Linked DNA regions of Sus scrofa. The protein of the gene in region 3 interacts with the protein of the main gene of each other region in a biochemical or structural test. Links are inferred from orthologs where the notes say so. Each region holds a gene or a part of one and is shown on either strand. Other genes may lie near its edges.

Region 1 (4,535 bases), on a different chromosome or scaffold from region 3:
GGCACAAGAAAGATCTAACGTAACCCAGACGGGACCAGCCATCCTTCTGACATTCTGCTGTTTCTCATCTTTGTGAGGTTGAAGGCTTTCTTTTTTCTTTCTTTATTTTGTCTTTTTAGGGCTGCACCTGCCGCATATGGAGGTTCCCAGGCTAGGGGTCGAATCAGAGCTGCAGCCGTTGGCCTACGCCACAACCACAGCCACGCCAGATCCGAGCCATGTCTGTGACCTACACCACAGCTCACAGCAACCCTGGATCCATAACCCACTGAGAGAGGCCAGGGATCGAACCTGGGTCCTCATGGATGCTAGTCAGATTCGTTTCCGCTGAGGCATGACAGGAACTCCCTTTTTCTTTTTTAAATCGAGACTAGACAAAAATTGGTCGTTAACAAAAAAATCTGTCATTAACCTCTCCTACCAAGCAGGAAGCTTGTTGAATTTGGTGCTGAGCCACAAAATAAATGGAAACAAGGAGCATCCGTATGACAAGTACTGTCCTCAAAATATACGTATATTGAGGGCAATTATATCCTCAGAGAGTAAGAAAGCTCTTTTTTTTTTCCATTTTTTTATTACTCAAATGAATTTATCACATCTGTAGTTGTATAATGATCATAACAATCAGAAAGCTCCTTTTGAAGGCAATCTCTTTACCCCAAGTTCAGAATAAGTAATTTTTCAGGGTAATCTACACACAGCAAGCCCTAGGCATGGGGTAAACCCTGAGTTTGGGAGTCCTGCACGGACTCACTAGCAGAATCTGGGCAAGATACTCAGTCTCTCCCTAAACCTCCATGGGCTTCCAGGTAAATTCAGGTTAACAAAGAAGGGACCGCTGGGTCGCGAGGCTTGAGATGGTTGCGGATGATGACAGCAGCAAAAATGTCCACAAGTGCTTACAGGGTTCGAGGCTCTAGTCCCCACCCTGTCCAAGGACACCTCCTTGAGCATCACGACAACGCACACACAACACAGCACAGCACTCCTAATGCCTCTGGGATAGGCACTCACCAAGTTCACTGTCGGGAGACAGAGGAGGAAAGGAGAAGGTCAAGTAACCAGCCCAGGCCACTTGCCCACGAGGCGCAGCCAAGGCTGTGACCCCAGGGGACTTAACCCTGGGCTTCTGACCACTGTGCTGTGCAGCCTTTCCAGAACAGTGATGCTTGAACAAAGGCTTTGCCACATTGGTTGAGTGACCCGGGGCAAGTTTGGGGACCCCTCTCTGACTGTATCCTCTGCTATGAAAAAACGATGACGCCGCCAACTGTGCTCCCTGGCAGGGTTGTTGAGAATGAGATACCTGAGACTCTTAGCCGTGTGGGCACACGCTTAGCTGTCAACATGTATCAGTGACTATTATTGGCCTGCTGTCTTCATCTTAAACTGTGTGGTCCTTAGTTTCAATCTACCCCCTCTGGTGTGGCCTTAAGTTGGGAATCACCCTGCAAAGGTGGTCAGTGAGCATTTAATCAGAAAGGCCACTCCCTGAGCACCTCTCCAGGGGAACTGACAGGTCTGGGGGGCTGCTCTCCCATCAGCTAGGAGTGTGTTAGAACACAGACCCACGTGGAGTCCACAGCCATCGTGGCCCGTGGCCCCAGGAATCTGTTTCAATAATCTCCCAGGAGGTTTTCCACATGCTAAAGTATCTGATGCTTTGACTACTGCTGTCATCAAACTGGAGTCCGAGATGAGTTTTCACTGGTGAAACTAGTGGTGTTCAAGATATGGGGTTTGACCAGAATATTCCAGACACCGCCCATCCTCGCACAGACAGGCCATGAGAACAGTGAAGCCTGCTGACAGCATGGTTAGGAAGGATTATGACACACTCCTGTGTCCTGCCCTGGGTTATATTTGTTCCTACCTGGCACAGGCCAGAGTAGCAGAGACCTGTCGGTGGAAGACCTTAGCTTCTGCCTGCATAAACTTTTAACCCAAGGTACAGCTGGGTCAGCTAAAAAAAAAGCAGAGCTAGGACTTCATTTATTTACGGTTTTGTGCCTGTCTGTCCAGGGCATGGCAGAACCAGGTCTCAGCATCTGAGAGTCACTTTTATTAGTAGGTGAGTCGCTAATAAGGCTGAAGAGCAGAAACTGGCCTCGCTCAGCACAGACTTTCTCCAGCTGTTTGCCAAAGAGAATCCATGAGATTTAAGTCTGCTGTCACATCAGCCATCAAACAGAATGGGTCCCTCCTCCAGGATTTAGGTCAAATTCCAAAGGGCTCAGAACTTCAAGTCAAACAGGTCAAATAACAGTCAATTCAAGTGTTTACCATTGCCAGGCTCTGTTCCAAGAGCTTCGTCTCATGTCACTGTCATAGTATCCATGCCATGTAGACATGACTGTCATTACCTTTTCATGAAGAAACAGTCACAGCCTGGCTAAAGCAATGGCTATTAAGTGGCCAGCTGGGATGCCAACCTAGGCAGGGGCATTCTTAACCAGGATGCATCTAGGTGTCTTCAGAACTCTGTTTTAATAAGTAATTCTGTTAGAAATAAGTAAATTAAGTAATTTATAGGTTCAAGGGAACTTGTTTTAGTACCGACTAGGTGAACAAAGTTTATTTTCAAGAGAGACGGGACAGCATTTCACACTCTAGTGAGACATTATTCTAGTTACACTCTGGACCGTAAATATTCAGAAAGGGGGCCTGACTCGTACCTTGGGGCGTCTCGTAGGTCAGCGTGGACATCTGCACCACCGGGCCGTCCTCGAAGGGCTGGTCGTACTGTAGGAGACGAAGGGGCATCTCGTGAGATAGGAGGGCCGAGAGCAACCCCTGACTCTCCTTAAGAAGGCAGCAGTGCGAGGCTGCAAAACTGGGGGCCCTGAACCCTGCCTCTTTCTCCCATCCCGTCCCCCGCCCTCCTCCTCTACCCACCCCCTAGCCCCGCCACGGCCGCACCTTCTCTATCAGCTGCTGCATGCGCCTTTGAAAGCGGCGGCGGCTGTCCCTGAGCTTCTGCAGGAGCTCGTCCTCCCCGCAGACCTCCCCCTCCATGGCGCGCCGTTACCCAGGACCCAACTCTTGCAGTAAGCCGGGCAAGGGACAGGCTCCGCGCTGCCGTTCAAATAGCTACTCCCGCCCTTCCGGCCCGCCCCTCAGGTTTCCCATTGGCTAAACTGGAAAGGTCGGGCGCTGATTGGGCCTTTCAAACACGTTCGCTCGCCTTTCTCTCGGCCAATCCGTTGTTGAGGTTCTGGCCCCGCCCCGCCCGAAGCGCGCGCGCTGGGAGGAAAGGAGGGGTGGGAGCGCGCTGCCAAGCTTTGGAAGAAGGGTGACGCGGTCTCCCCTGCGGCCGTTTGCGTGCCTGTTATTCAGCAGTGCCACACGAGTATGATGTCCCCCGTCTTGCACCGGAGATGTCCGGGTGACTTATTCTGGGACTCGCGGCAGGTGAGGGTGGCCCCTTACCACAGGTGGGGTCTGGCCCCGCCCTGAGCCAGCTTCCTCTCCCCGCCCTTCTGGGCCCCTTGCTCAGTTAAGAAAGCCGGGGCCCAGAAAGACGCTAAGGACTTGCCAATGGAAAAGAATAGAAAAAGGAGCATGAAAGTGAACACGCATTTAGAAAGGAGAAATAGCGTAAACGTCATGATTCAGGAAAATACACTGTGGTATTTTTTATTAACCTGGTGCACCTTTTCCGTACATATTGCATACTCTGCTCCATTGATATTAATTTTGTAATATTCGTAGGGATGGAGTAGGATAGTTATACTCCATAGTTAGTTGTAGAAGCCCCAATAACAGACCACACATAGAGAGGGAAATCCAGGGAAATTTGGGAAACCACTGTAAGTTAATTGCTCAAGAGGACCATCAGAAGGAAGCAGACTTGGGAATTCCCATCCTGGCGCAGCGGAAACAAATCCAACTAGGAACCATGAGGTTGCGGGTTCAATCCCTGGCCTTGCTCAGTGGGTTAAGGATCCGGTGTTGCCGTGGGCTGTGGCGTAGGTCGCAGACGTGGCTCGAATCCCACTGGCTCGGATCCCACGTGGCTGTGGCGTAGGCTTGGATTGCTGTGGCTCGGGATTGCTGTAGGCTGGTGGCTATAGATCTGATTAGACTCCTAGCCTGGGAACCTCCATATGCGGCGGATGCGGCCCTAAAAGGACAAAAGACAAAAAAAAAAAAAAAAAAAAAAAAAAAAAAAAGGAAGCAGGCTTGCTTGACTAGTGGAGGCACAAAATATGCCTCAGCTGATGGGGTGAGGCCTGCATTTAGGTTCAGGCTGGCAGCTGCAGCCCAGCCAGAGAACTTGCATATGCTGCACCTATGGCTGTAAAAAGAAAAAAAATAAAAGATTGCCTCCGTTGTAGAGAGCCCCTCCCCCGAGGTCCTGCAACCCCAGGGCAGCCCAGATCACTGAATGCTGGGCCACTTCAGTCAGTGGACAATCTGATGGGCTATTCCAATTCCTGAGCTCTGCATGGAATCAGCTGAGGCAACCTGTCCAGTCTTTTCCTTCCTTTCATAGCTGCCAATCTGAGGGGCACCCTTTAGCAAACCTCTTGCAG
Region 2 (4,721 bases), about 45 Mb from region 3:
TGGAATTTACTATTGGGGTAGTAATATTAACAATAATTATAATGGAATGAGTTACAAGTCCCAAGGCACAATGACACAAAACCATATGTATTTGCATTCTTGCATAGTTGGGAAAAAAATGATATTAAGTTAATTGGCAAATGATACACTTGGGTAAAAATACATGCAGCATATGACATAGAAAGGGCTGATACATACAATATGCAAAGAAAACAAATGAATCAGTTTAAAGAAATGATCAAGAGAAAATGGCTAAAGGAAATGAAAGGGAATTAACAGAGTACAAAAGGCTAATGAATAAGTGAAAATGAGACTTATTTTTACTAATTAATGAAGAGCTTATAAATTAAAACAGTGAAACTACTTATGCTTATCAGATTGGTAAAGATTAATTCCACAATATAGATGTGCATGCCATTGTTCAAGAAATTCCACTTTTAATTTTTTTCTTATAGAAACATCAATACAAGAATGCAAATACATGTGGTAATAATAGTCAACATTTACTGCATATATGCTAGACACTACTTAATCTTACAGCAATGCTTAAGAGTAAAGTACTGTTGTTATTCTCATTTTGAGAATTAGGAAACTAAGGCATAGAGTGATTAAATAACCAGCCCACAGTCCCACTGACAATGATTATGAGCAGGACCCCCAGCTATCCGATTTTAAAGCCCAAGTTCTTAAAGAGGCAGTATAAAAGAATGTTCACTGAAGTACTGGGCTAATTAGAAACAATCTAGATGTCTACCAAGATGGGACAAAATTCTGCTACATCCACACAACTGAATTCTACCTATTCCACTAAAAGAATATACATACACACTGACATAGAAAACAACTAGGATATACTAAGTTAAAAAAGGAAAAGGAACAGGAGGTGTAACTGAATTTCTGAAATAAATAAATAAATAAACACCTAAATAAAGGAAGAGGGAAATACATAGACATAGGGGAAAAAAAAAAAACTGGAAGTAGACCAAATTGTAAACAGAGTTTATCTTTGAGAAGTAGGATGAAGAGGGCTCCCATTTCCTAAATATTTTTTAATTTAACATTTGTAAGTATTTGCAACTAATATGTAATCAAAAGAAAACATAAGCTGGATGGATCAATTGTTTCTTTAGCTTTGTGAATCCTAGGTTCCAAGGTGAAGAATCAGGAAGTGACGGTGACGCACACAATTTTTCTACTTGGTAATTATCTGAAACTTTTTTTTTTTCTAGAAGTGATTTTAGAGTAAAGTTTAGAGCGCTCACCATCGAAACGAATCTGAACGGAAGTGGTCTACTTCCGTAATAACTACAGCAGAAACGCAACAAATCACACCTAATGAACGAGCAGTTGTGATACCACTGCCAAAGGCAAAAATGTACAAAAACAACTTGATCCCTTTGCTGTACAGTGGGAAAATTAAAAAAAAAAAAAAAAAGTCTGCGTGGGACCATTACGCTGAAGTGCTGGAAGTCACAGTGCCAGAAGGGACGGGAGAGAGGAGACGAAAGAAGCGGGGCGAAGAGGCCGTACCTTGGGTGAAGAGACCGGCACCGTAGAGACGGCGGCGGCCCGGGCTCGACTTCGCTTAGAGGGCGGGCAGGAACACCACGGCTTCTGCCTCTGGCCCAAGTCGGCCGCAGCGGCCGAGCACCAGGTGACGCTCACCACCTCCTTGAGGTTCCCTAACACCAAAACTATCTGGCAATTCAAATTTTAAGAGCCTGCCCTCCAGGCACCAGGGATTGGCGCGCTCAGGAATTGCGTCACCACGCGTCTCTCTGGGACGCAGGAAAACGTGGGGCGGTCCCCGCTCCGCGAGGGCAGTGCTCTTTCTACAAAACGTAGGCAACCCCAAGTTGCCACGGGTACCGGGCACGCACCTCTAGCTGTCCTCGAAATTAATTTCCTCTTCAGAGAAGGAGCCAACCCCGCATTCTGCCGTTCCTCCCGAAATGCTCTGCGGCAGGAAGACTACGTCAGACGTCGTCTGCGCGCTCTGGCACTTCTGTGGGTTTTTAATTTTGGTCCTTCCCGGCTACCTTCCTCCCCTACTGGCGTGAATGCTGATAGAATTTGGTTGTGCATTCCCTTCCGTCTGAAAGAAAACTGCTTGCCGAATCCGTTTAAGAGCCTTTAGTTTTCTCAGGCCGTCAGGTATTTGAGGCCGAGAAGGAGCGTTTTGTTCTTGAAACAATGGACTAAATGCAAAGTTATACTCGCAATGGGATACTTAGTTTGAGCTATTCCCCCCGGGAAATTTTCTTTTGTTTTGCTTTGTTTTTAAGAAACTTACTGAATCCTAAAGCCTTAATCTCGGCTACCCTGGTTTGCCTTACAGTTGCAGTTAGACCGAGCCGTATCAGACCACACCCAGTGATGCTGTGCCGTAGCCACGGCGGAGCACTGTGTATCCCCCGCTTCAGCGCCCCAGCAAGCCGCAGTTGCCGGCCGGAAGCATTGTGTAGTGCCCCTTGTTTCAGTCTTGGCAGAGAAAAAGGAGCCAGAGGAGTAACTAGTGTTTTCAGCCCTAAATCCCTTCTGGCTCCAATCCTGCACCTTCTTTCCATGAACTCCGCCCCCCTCCTCACCAAGTACGCATTTAGGACAGGAGAGTTTATTTTTTGCTTCATCCAAGAAAAGTTCTCAGCATCCTAGAATCATGTATCGCATCTGTCCGATAAGACTGGACTGAAATGGCTGTAATGAATTAATTTTTTAAAGAGATGGTTGCGAGCCCTTCTTCTAAAGTCTGTATCCACTAAATCCTGTATTCACCAAATATTCAGAATCCAAAATGTAAATTTAAAGCATAAAATGATTGCAAGTAAAGAAAAAAAAGAAACCAGTTGGGGGGTAGAACGAGGAAAGCAAATCTGTCAGAGCGGAAAAATCAAAGAAGAGACAGTAGGCTGGAGCTCTGAGACTTCAAGCCAGTTTTATGGACCAACAGATTGGCCAGGAGTCGGGAGAGAGCTCAGGTTCTCCGCTGCTTAGGGAGCAGTTAGTGATGTAGGAAAAGGGGTAGTTTCTATTTTCAGCACAGGTTTGTTCTTGGGCTAGGTCAGTATTCAAGGGTTAGGGGGAGGCAGTTTCCTTAGGAATGTAAGTAATGGTTTTGGGTGGGGGGTAGAGGGCAGTTGTAAAAGAACATCGTCTGATGAATGACTCTTTAACTGGTCTCCAAGGCAGCTCATTGTTCCCCAGGGGATCAGCCTTCTAGATTTTAAGTCTGATTAGAGTTTAGGTGGTGCATAGCAGGTCATGTACGATTCCCCACCTAAGAAAATCCATGTAGATAAATGAAGTTTCTATTTCTGCAGCATAATGGGAAATTGACTGGACATGGATTTGCACCAGATCTGTGGGAAAAGCCAGACTTAAAAATATGTGTTTAATGACATCTATGAAATAAACTCTGTGGGATAGAGGGGTTTTAAAGAGACAGGCATTCATATTTCAAAGCATCTGAAATGGAAATGTGAAAGTTTTCTATTCCTGATGATAGAGATAGACATGACTCACAACATTCAGTCAAAATAGGAACCTTGAAATATTAAGGGCAGGTACTCAGTTTAATTTTTTAAATTAACTGTTTCTCGTGTGAGAAGTAACTAGGATCTAGTGCGCTCCAGAGTGAACTGCAACAGGAATTTACATAAGAATGACAAATAATTTTCTAAGGAAACCTGGATAACAGCTTGTGGGTAAAAAAGTACAGAGAGAAGGCATACAGGCCAAGGGACAATGTTCATCTGTCCGTTGGACATTGATATGCTGCCTCGGATGGACCGTTTAAGTTTATATCTGCTGGGGATGGAGAGCTTCTTATATTCACAGTCAGGCAGCTGGAATAATCTGTCCTAAGTCTGTAACTCTTGGGAATGTATACAGACCCACTTAGGGTCCAAAAGACAGATATTGGAGGAGCCGATTCCTCTAATCGTTGTGTGGGAGTTGCTACCAAGGGATCTGAGTCTGCTGAGCTTGGAGGAATATTCCCAGCACCATGGTAAGTTCCAGTAGGGGCACTACTTGACCATATAGCATTTTGGGGGGAATTAGAAAAAAGATACTCTTTCATCAAGGCCAGTGGTTCTCAACCAGGGATAATTTTGCACCCCTAGAGGACATTTGGCAATGTCTGGAAATATGAATGTCAGGACTGAGAAGGATGGCCCTTGTAGCTATTGAGTAGAGGATAGAAATGCTGCTAAACATCCTATAATGCACAGGGCAGCTATTGATAATTCTTAAAGAATTATCAAGATTAAAATGTCAGTAATGCCAAAGTTGCAAGATCCTACACTTGTAACATGTAGCCCTGAATTAGGATTTTTGTCTCCTTTCACTCTGTGTTCCCAGTGTAAGGCATAACTGTGCAAATACTACTGTCCTCTCTGGGCTTAGAGGAAGGTTGAAAATGGAATCAACAGGGAGGTTTTACAGGCTTTTAAGAGGAGGATTCTTCAGTAGAAAAGACTGTCAAGAAGATTGTTGTATAATAGAGACAGTATACAAGCACATAAACATATAAACATACTATTACAAATTGTAATAAGTGCTATGAAGGTGTATTAGTTTGGCTCCTGCAGGAAGCTGATGGTAAGATGGAATTCGGAATACAAGAGACTTGTTGAGAGATATGGCCTGTGAAAGTTTAAGGGGGAGGAAAAAGAATTGGGTCTAGTAAATCCTTAGGCTTTAATGCAGATCTGCCATTT
Region 3 (4,822 bases):
TCAAATCCTTAAGGTAGAAAGCATGATTGACCTAGCTTAGGTCAGGTATCCATTCCTGATCCCACCACCCAGGAGTGGTATCACACAGAATACAAACATGGCCACAAGGTCCCCTCTATAGGCAGGGTGACAAGGGCTGGGCACAAACCCAAACAGTGTCTACTACAACATGATTTTGCAAAAACTTACCTTCCAAAAGTTCCTGTAGCGAAAGAATATCCTTTCAGTTATTCCATGGTTTGATTATTAACATTACAATTATGAGACACCTAAAATGATAATGAGACTCTATTTTGGCCCTACTGCCATCTCTTTTGTGAGAAACAACATTTGGTTTACTATCTTCTCTGGTAAAAACATTCTGCCTTTTTTGTAAGATCTTTTAAAATTTATTTGATACAGAAGATGAGTCTACTTACCATACCATTTTGTCACTGGAAAGGCAAAAGTGACCTCTCAAGGCAGCCAGGGCAGCATGGGTAGAATACAAATGGAAACCAATGGGAATCACACAGGAACTACAGAATAAAAGGTTGTAAGTGCTGAGGGAAAAAACAGAATATGGATAAGAAAGAAAATCAGAGAACAAAGACAAAATGTCTCTGGACCCATTCCTAAAAATTAGACTGTAATAGAAATGAGAGCGAAGAAATGTCACATTCAAGAAAAGTTAACTTGTGGAGTTCCCGTCGTGTTGCAGCAGAACAAATCCAACTAGGAGCCATGAGGTTGCTGGTTCGATCCCTGGCCTCACTCAGTGGGTTAAGGATCCGGCTTGGATTTGGCGTTGCTGTGGCTGTGGTGTAGGCCAGCAGTTGCAGCTCCGATGTGACCCCTAGCCTGGGAACTTCATATGCCACAGATGCAGCCCTAAATAAATAAATAAATAAATGTATATAACTACACATGACCATATAAATTAACCACCATCAAATTGATTTCCAGTTGAAGTATGATAATAAACTTGATTAGGGCTTACTAAGCAATTTATTAATGGAACTCAAATCAGGATTTTTCTTTCAAAGATATAACAAAAAATTAATTTTAGGAGTTCCTGTTCTGACTCAGTGGTTTACAAACCCGACTATTATCCATGTGGATGCAGGTTCGATTCCTGCCCTCACTCAGTGGGTTAACGATCCCGCATTGCCATGAGCTGTGGTGTAGGTTACAGACACAGCTGGGATCCAGGTTGCTGGGATCTAGGCCAGCAGCTACAGCTCTGCTCGACCCCTAGCCTGGGTACTTCCATACGTCACAGGTGCAGCCCTAAAAATACAAAAAAAAAAAAAAAAGAATACAAGCCACATAAGTAATTTTATATTTTCTATCAGTCTTGCTTAAAAAATTTTCTGTCGGAGTTCCTGTCATGGCTCAGTGGTTAACGAATCTGACTAGGAACCATGAGGTTGAGGGTTTGATCCCTGGCCTTGCTCAGTGGGTTAAGGATCCGGCGTTGCCATGAGCTGTGGTGTAGGTTGCAGACACAGCTTGGATCCTGTGTTGCTGTGGCTCTGGCGTAGGCTAGTGGCTACAGCTTAGATTCGACCCCTAGCCTGGGAACCTCCATATGCCACGTGAGCAGCCCAAGAAATGGCAAAAAGACAAAAAAAAAAAAAAAAAAAATCTGTCAACAGGTGAAAGTTTTTTTTTTTGTTTTTTTTGTTTTGTCTTTTTAGGGCCACACCCACTGCATATGGAGGTTCCCAGGCTAGGGGTTGAATTGGAGCTGTAGCTGTCGGCCTATACCACAGCCACAGAAATGCGGGATCCGAGCCGTGTCTGCCACCTACACCACAGCTCATGGCAACACTGGATCCTTAACCCACTGAGCAAGGCCAAGGATCAAACCTGTGCCCTCATGGATCCTAGTTGGGTTGGTTAACCGCTTAACGATGGGAACTCCAAAATTATTTTTAATATATTTTATGCTACCTGTTATTCAAAAATATCATTTCAACATATAATCAATATTTTAAAATTCTTCAAAACTTTAATCACAGCATATTTCAATTCAGAATGGCCACATTTTTTTGTTTTGTTTTTTTAGGGCCATACCGGAGGCATATGAAGGGGAAGGTTCCCAGCAACATCATATCCGAGCCAAGTCTGAAACCTAGACCACAGCTCAAATCAACACTGGATTCTTAACGTACTGAGCGAGGTCAGGGATTGAACCCACAACCTCATGGTTCCTAGTCGGATTCGTTAACCACTGCGCCAGGATGGGAACTCCAGACATAACTTTCTTAAACTCACTTCCACAAGGCGCGAGGTAGATGTGGCCCTCAGACTTTAAAACCTACACACAAATACAGCTTTTCCATTTCATTGCTATATCAACCTCGTACAAGACTCAATCAGGTAAAAGGAGAATCCTTCAGATATGGATGGAAGAAACTTTTCTTCTAGCACAAGGTAGGAATAAACTGTTTTCTCCTCGTGCAAGTCGGTTCCATTCCCCCCTCGGTCTCATTAAATCTGGGAATGACTTAATGACCATCTGGAATTCTCAGTACGTACCTGCCTTTGAGCGAACCTTCAATGCCAACTAGGAAAGGAGCTTCCAAAACTACGTTATTTGTGACTCCTAGGAAAACAAACACGGGTCAGAATGACTACCTGTGAGGCAATGAAAGGGGAAACCTCTTCCTTCCAGAAAGACTCATCACAGCCACAAAAAAAAACTACGAAAAGTCGCCCCCACCCACCCCTGGCAAAGGAGTTCATTTCTTTCAAATTTTCAACTCGTTTTCTTCCCCGTGAGTTCTAAGCCCCCAATAAAAAGCCGCAACTCCCTCTCGACCCGCCTACGCCTTCCCCAGACACTGCTCCCACTCACTGGAGAAGGCCACGGCTCCAAGGGACCGCGACAAGTCCCATGCGAGGTGCACCGAGTCGGCGAGCACAGCGTAGCAATGCGCACACTGGAACACGGCGCACCTCTCGGGCTGCAGCCACCATGGCAGCCGCGGGGCCGCTGGGGGCTCCTCCGGCCCGAGCCCAGCGGGGCCAAGCGGCGAAGACCCCTTCACCACCTGCGTGTCCCACTCCATGGAAGTCGTAAGAGAAGTTTCGTCAGTCGCCTTCTTAGGGCCATCACAAAAGTCACGCCGCGACTGCCTTGGATAGCACGAGCGATGCCTCCGCGGCCGCGCCGCCATCTTCCCGCAGCCCCCGCCTCCGTTTCAAAGACGCGCCAGGCCCCGCCCCAAGCTCAGTTCCTGAGTCCTCATTGGACAACGTGTATCGGGGTTTCTGCCGCGCACTCGTTGCCTGGACACACTGTTTGGCGCCCAGGTGTTGGCGAGGGGTGGAGGAGAATGTGCGTCACTGGGAGGGGAAATAAGCCTTTCTATTGGTCAATACCGGGAGACCCTGCCTATGAGGCAGTTTTAACCAATGGAAGTGCATCATTCGTAATTTAAACTCTCTATAAAATTCGGTTTGGTTAACGCTTCGAGCCGCGCCAGAGTTTTCAACCGTGCTTTGGAGAGGGGGTTACTGATCTTCTTCGTGGTCGCCTGGATTGCAGTTCGCCATGATTGTGTCCTCCCTGGAGGAGCTGGACTCCTTCAAATACAGTGACCTGCAGAACTTGGCCAAGAATCTGGGCCTCCGGGCTAATCTCAGGGTATGGGGCCGGTGGCGGGTGGGGTAGTATGAGCGGCCTTTTCAAGACTCGATGGGGGCTGGGTGGGGGGAACCTGAAAGACTGAGGCGGCTGTCCTGGCCCTGGGGCGGTTGGTTTGGTTCACCCAAGGGTCCTAGTAACTTTGCAAAACCGAAAGGGAGCCGTAGTTTTCAGCTTATGTTGCGGCTGACTTTTTTGGAGGCTCACGAAGGCCCCGGCTCCAAAAGGGTTTGGCTTGGGTTTTTTTTTGAAGTACTCGATAGTAATTGTCAGGGCTTCAATTACAAAACGCAGGCTTAGAAAGCGAAAGGAATGCTGCTTCTAAATGCCGATTGTTAGGCAGTCGCAGAAATAATTGCCTAGGCTTCTGGAAAACTGCAAACAACGAACACTTTTTGTGTTATAACAGCGCCCCAAATCTATTTTCATGGGGAACCTGGAAGAAAGAACTTTTAGAGGACCCCTCTCATCACCTTGGAAAAGTTTTTATAACAGCTCTGATCTAGTAGGATAGTTCCTTCATTGGCCACTGCTGTGGTAGTGTTCTAGTCAAAGCCGGTAAAGTCTTTGACTCCGAGACTGCAAACCCCTTGGGGAAATGCAGGGTTTTAATTTGGGATTGAAGTTTTTTATATTCTAGAGGAGTTTTCCCACACAGTATTAATGTATACTCTGGAGATTTGTTCAGCAAGCTGTCGTATTTACACTGAATGAATGCCTAAATCAGTCCTCACAAGTGTTTCTAGGTGGTTTAAAGAAAATAATCTGTCTCTGCACCTGTTGGGGCTAAATGATAAAGGACTATCTTTGGAAATATTTCTGAGCTATTGTGTTTAATTGCTCCTCAATATTTTTATAAACAAACCTTAATTCTGTACCTTAAATCTCTAAATTATTTTTGTAATCTGGCTGGACTCTTTTACCCAAAGCACCATCCAAACTGTACTGATCCCTGAACACTTGGCACCTTTGTCCATCATCCTTTCTTTGCTAATTTTGGCCCTTTAATCTCAGATCCTTTTTTCTCTCCTTCATGTGCATGAATAATTCCCAATTACTCTCCAGTCCAACAAGAATGTTATCACTCTCTTTGAGACCCTGTAGGCTTTCCACCTTCCACTGGCAATTTTTGTAGGTATGTTCTCTCTTCTACTAAAAGTTAAGTTCTTTGAACAGTATTTCTTGTCA
Region 4 (4,554 bases), on a different chromosome or scaffold from region 3:
GCTGTGGCTGTGGCCACGGCTCCAATTCAACCCCTAGCCTGGGAACCTCCATATGCCCAGGGAGCGGCCCAAGAAATGGCAAAAAAGACCAAAAAAAAAAAAAAAAATCTCAACTCAAATACATACAAGCTGTTCTAACGGTGGCAACGCGGTAAAAAGCCTAGACCTCTATCAAGAGGGGCAGACTGGGAGGAAGAATGGCATCTCCATCAAATAAATCACTAAGTGGCACCAGCTATGTCATCTGAGCACATGACACGCCGTAACTCACTTAATCCTCCTCATTACCCCCATCTTTCAGAGGAGAAAACTGAGGCAAAGAGAGGCTAAGCAGCTTGCCCCAAAAGACACAGCTAGTAAGTGGCAGGTCAGGATTCAAACCCATGCAGTTGAGGGCCATCACCTATATCAAACCCTCTCAGCAAGGGTACAACAATCAGCTGTTAAAAACGTAAAGTGTATCTATATGCACTAATATAGAAAAACACTCGGAATATCTGTGAAGGATAAAAAAGTAAGGATTCTTACAAGTATAAAGAATATAATCTCAGGAGTTCCCGTTGTGGTTCAGGGGTTAATGAATGCGACTAGGAACCATGAGGTTGCGGGTTCGATCCCTGGCCTTGCTCAGTGGGTTAAGGATCCAGCGTTACCATGAGCTGTGGTGTAGGTCACAGACGAGGCTCGGATCCCGTGTTGCTCTGGCTCTGGTGCAGGCTGGTGGCTACAGCTCTGATTAGACCCCTAGCCTTGGACCCTCCATATGCCACGGGAGACGCCCAAGAAATGGCAAAAAGACAAAAAAGAAAAAAAAAAAGAATATAATCTCAAGTGTGTGTGTTTTAATTTACATGTTGGAGCTCCCACCATGGCACAGTGGGTTAAGAATCCAACTGTAGCAACTCAGGTCACTGTGCAGGTGTGGGTTCCATCCCCTGTCTGGTGCAGTGGGTTAAAGGATCCAGTGTCACCACAGCTGCATGGTAGGTAACAATCCCTGGCCCAGGAAATTCCATATGCCATGGGTGTGGCCACAAAATTAAAAAACCCGACTTGTATCCATAAGGACTCGAGGTTCCTTCCCTGGCCTCGCTCAGTGTTAAGCCGGCGTTGCCATTGGCTATGGTGTAAATTACAGACGCAGCTCAGATCCCGTCTTGCTGTAGCTGTGGTGCAGGCCAGCAGCTGCAGCTCCAATTTGACCCCTAGCCATATGCCACAGGTGCAGCTCTAAAAAGACAAAAAGACAAAAAAAAACCCTCTCATACTGTCATGTTTAGACTCATAGACAGGGGAAGAGGGGGATGAACTGAGAGATGTTGGGTTTAGCAGATGTAAGTATTACACACACAGCGGGTAAGGTCCTACTGTATAGAACAGAGAACTATATCCAATCTCCTGGGATAAACCATAATAGAAAAGAAAATAAAAAAGAAGGTATATATGTGTATAACCGAGTCACTTTGCTATACCGCAGAAGCGGAAATTGGCACTGTAATCAACTATACTGTAAAAATTTTAAGATATATGTTTAAATATGCTCATAAATGCATGAAGAGTATCTGGAAGTATAAACGAGAATAAAGCACGTTGAACTCTGGGACCATGAGAATATCAGGGTCAGGAGGATAAGTTCTTTTTACTTTTACATCCTTCTGCACAATTTAATAGGTGCAAAGGGTTAATCTTAGTGAATTACTATGGGAAATGTATGTCCTTAGGCTTATGTTTAATAACTGAAAGGGACTCCCGGCAATTATTGTCAATGAACTGATGCATCCTTAAGGAAAACTATAGGTTGCAAAAAGTTTCAGGTGGACACCCGCTGCCCTACTTTCTTCTTAATATATCCCAGGAAGGCAAACATTCCACAAATGTTAATAAATTTTGGTGGTGAATGTATGCCACCAAATTATCTGCAGAATCCAAACAGAGCATATAAACTTCATCTTGAAAACCACAAGTCCAAAAAGAATAGAGATTTTCACAACAACTCAGAAAAAATATTGAAACACTATGGAAAAATAAAGAAACACTATGGAAACAACAAAACAAGGAAACGGAGAAACATACAGATAATCGGTAGAGCCAGTATTAAAAGCTAAAGCCGCGACTTTCTTAACTTTTACTACATCCTCCTTCCTCTCCAATTTTGATGGGATCATTGCTGTTTTCATTGCAAGTCTCCTTTAATTTTCTGGATAGCATTATGTTCTGTCAACTGTATGGCTGCAGCACTTCTGATTGTAAAGTCTCCGCTGATACAAATAAGATTTGATAAATCAAACCTGATATCTCTTGCAAGAAGCAGGTAGCTGAGAAGCTTGGTTTACTAAATAAACCAGGAACACTATTATTTACCGATGAACAGCCCACTAATTTCCACGAGGAGTAATACAGAGTGGCCACGCCCCAAATGCTTACAACCTAGTTGTCACTTTTCTCTAAGAAATGCTCACGGCGATAATGATGGGAGACCCCAGAAAAGGACTTGTCACTTGTGAGCCCAAAGTGCAAGGGTGACTCTCCTCCTCCCCCTTTTCTCATCCTCTCAGACTTTTCTGCTTTTAAAGACCCCAAGCAGCCAGAAAACACACACCCCCACCCCGCCTCCTCCGAGGCCGCGCAGGTACTGTACCCCCGGGAAGAAGGCAGCCCTAAGCCCTAAGCTCCCATGGCCCGAACTGACAACGCAGCAGGATGCAGTTGGTGTCCTCCTGGCTCGTCACCCAGCTCAGGGAGTCCCCCAGAGGCCGCCGGCAGCGAGAGCACAGAAACACCAGCGGCCTGTCCTCCTCGTCCGCGGTCTTCGCAGCCTCCTCGCGCCGCGTCCTTTCCGTGCAGGCCACCGACGCGTCCTCGCTCACGGAACTCCACATGCTCGCCCACTTCTGCAGCAGCTGTTGGCGGCTAGAGTCTTCTGAGAGCCGCTTGCCTAACAGCAAGGAGTCGCTCCACTTGCCCTTGTCGCCACATGCACAGCTAGTAGAGGAGCATCCTTTGCAACTATTTGGAGACCAAGCAACCGCCATTAGCTACAAACTGCCCGCGCCGCGGAGCGTGACGGGAAAAACGCCCCTACGCATGCGCGAGGCGAAGGGGCGGAGCGAGGCGGTGACGAAGGGGCGGGGTCTAAGGGAAGAGGAACCGCGGGCAGCCTAGTAGCGCGCATGCTCGCAGAGGAGCTGGGCTGAGCCAGGCGGTCCATGCTCCTGCCTCAGGTTTTCCAACCTTAGAAAATTGAGACTGCAGGAGCCCCGCTCCGTAGGCTATTTCGGGAGGAGGGTTCACCCTCTAACACAGGAGGGGAGGAGTCTTTGAAAAAATTAGGGATGGCAGACTAAACTACCGACCCATCGCGGAGACCTTGGCAATGGTTAGGAAAGCAAATGTGCAACCCACCCACCACCTAGAGATAGAGGAGTTGGCTACACTGCTGCTTTCTATGGCGTGTCCCATCTCCAAGTACTACAACCCATCAAATTTAGCATGCCTAAGAGTCACCTAAGCTGGTTAAAACACAGATTTCTGATTCCCCCGGTACACTGGGCGGGGTGCGGGGGGGGTGCACAACCTAAAAGTTGAAAATTTTGTCTTATTTGGTGGACTTGCTTAAGGACTTCTGCCCTGGAGTCAGCCTCTCAGATAGCTGTGAGGGACTGCTCCTAGAGGCAAGGGAGGAGCCAGGGTATGTAGGAGTCTTTGCAAAACAAAAGCAACCCCAGATAGTTGGAACATCAAAAAATTGCTGTTGACTGAAGAAAACCAGACAACTTAAGTTAACGAATTGAGCACTTTTCTAAGACTGGGAAGATGCAAAAATCTGGGCCCATCGAAATCATTCCTTCGATGTGCATCTTAACTATCTAGTTAAGCACAACTGGGTTGGTTGCAGTGGCCGATGGCTTGATAGCTGAAACATCCTTTGTTTACTGACAGGACAGGCAACATTCTTCCTCCAAACCACCTTTGAAGGTTCTCGATCAATAGGTCAGGAGTTCCTGTCGTGGTGCAGCAAAAATAAATCCGACTAAGAACCATGAGGTTGAGGGTTCAATCCCTGGCCTCACTCCGTGGGTTAAGTAGCCGGCATTGCCGTGAACTGTGGTGTAGGCTGGCAGCTGTAGCTCAGATCTGGCATTGCTGTGGCTGTGGTGTAGGCTGGCAGCGGTAGCTCCGATTTGACTTCTAGCCTGGGAATCTCCATATGCCGAGGGTACGCCACTAAAAAAGCAAAAAAAAAAGTCAGGATGGGCCCAAGAATTTGCTTAACAAGCTCCTGGGTGACACAAATACTGTCAGTAAGGACACCTCCACTTTTGGTTGCCCCTGCTCCAGTTTGTCTGCCTAATTTCCCCAAGGTGGAGAAGGCTGGGGTTGTTGGGGAGCCACTCGTCACAGGTTCTTTTTCTGCCATGTTATTGCTCAGATGAGACCCTGGAAGTGATAGGGATAGAGTAGGATAATTACACAGCTAGTTGTAGACATCCCAATAGGGGACCGTAGATAGGAAAACCTAGGGAAACTTGGGAGACCACGGTAAGTTAATATTCG

The links. The genes of interacting proteins can lie anywhere in the genome.
Region 1: the proteins of OIP5 (region 3) and HJURP form a complex in vitro, tested with the Homo sapiens proteins (2 studies listed by BioGRID). The link is inferred for Sus scrofa from reciprocal best matches to the Homo sapiens genes OIP5 and HJURP.
Region 2: the proteins of OIP5 (region 3) and MIS18BP1 form a complex in vitro, tested with the Homo sapiens proteins (2 studies listed by BioGRID). The link is inferred for Sus scrofa from reciprocal best matches to the Homo sapiens genes OIP5 and MIS18BP1.
Region 4: the proteins of OIP5 (region 3) and MIS18A form a complex in vitro, tested with the Homo sapiens proteins (3 studies listed by BioGRID). The link is inferred for Sus scrofa from reciprocal best matches to the Homo sapiens genes OIP5 and MIS18A.

Annotation. Positions count from the first base shown.
Region 1 is NC_010457.5:134,120,085-134,124,619, forward strand, and holds the start of HJURP (Holliday junction recognition protein), read right to left. Parts: upstream 3,080-4,535; 5' UTR 3,016-3,079; coding exon 2,920-3,015; intron 2,743-2,919; coding exon 2,676-2,742; intron 1-2,675. UniProt on the Homo sapiens protein: Centromeric protein that plays a central role in the incorporation and maintenance of histone H3-like variant CENPA at centromeres.
Region 2 is NC_010443.5:175,446,318-175,451,038, forward strand, and holds the start of MIS18BP1 (mis18-binding protein 1), read right to left. Parts: upstream 3,080-4,721; 5' UTR 1,881-3,079; exon of another isoform or gene 1,531-1,880; intron 1-1,530. UniProt on the Homo sapiens protein: Required for recruitment of CENPA to centromeres and normal chromosome segregation during mitosis.
Region 3 is NC_010443.5:130,034,843-130,039,664, reverse strand, and holds the start of OIP5 (protein Mis18-beta), read right to left. Parts: upstream 3,188-4,822; 5' UTR 3,165-3,187; coding exon 2,843-3,164; exon of another isoform or gene 2,591-2,842; coding exon 2,524-2,590; exon of another isoform or gene 2,051-2,523; intron 543-2,050; coding exon 420-542; intron 1-419. Other genes in the region: NUSAP1 (nucleolar and spindle-associated protein 1), read left to right, coding at 3,542-3,634. UniProt on the Homo sapiens protein: Required for recruitment of CENPA to centromeres and normal chromosome segregation during mitosis.
Region 4 is NC_010455.5:195,925,231-195,929,784, forward strand, and holds the start of MIS18A (protein Mis18-alpha), read right to left. Parts: upstream 3,080-4,554; 5' UTR 3,033-3,079; coding exon 2,690-3,032; intron 1-2,689. UniProt on the Homo sapiens protein: Required for recruitment of CENPA to centromeres and normal chromosome segregation during mitosis.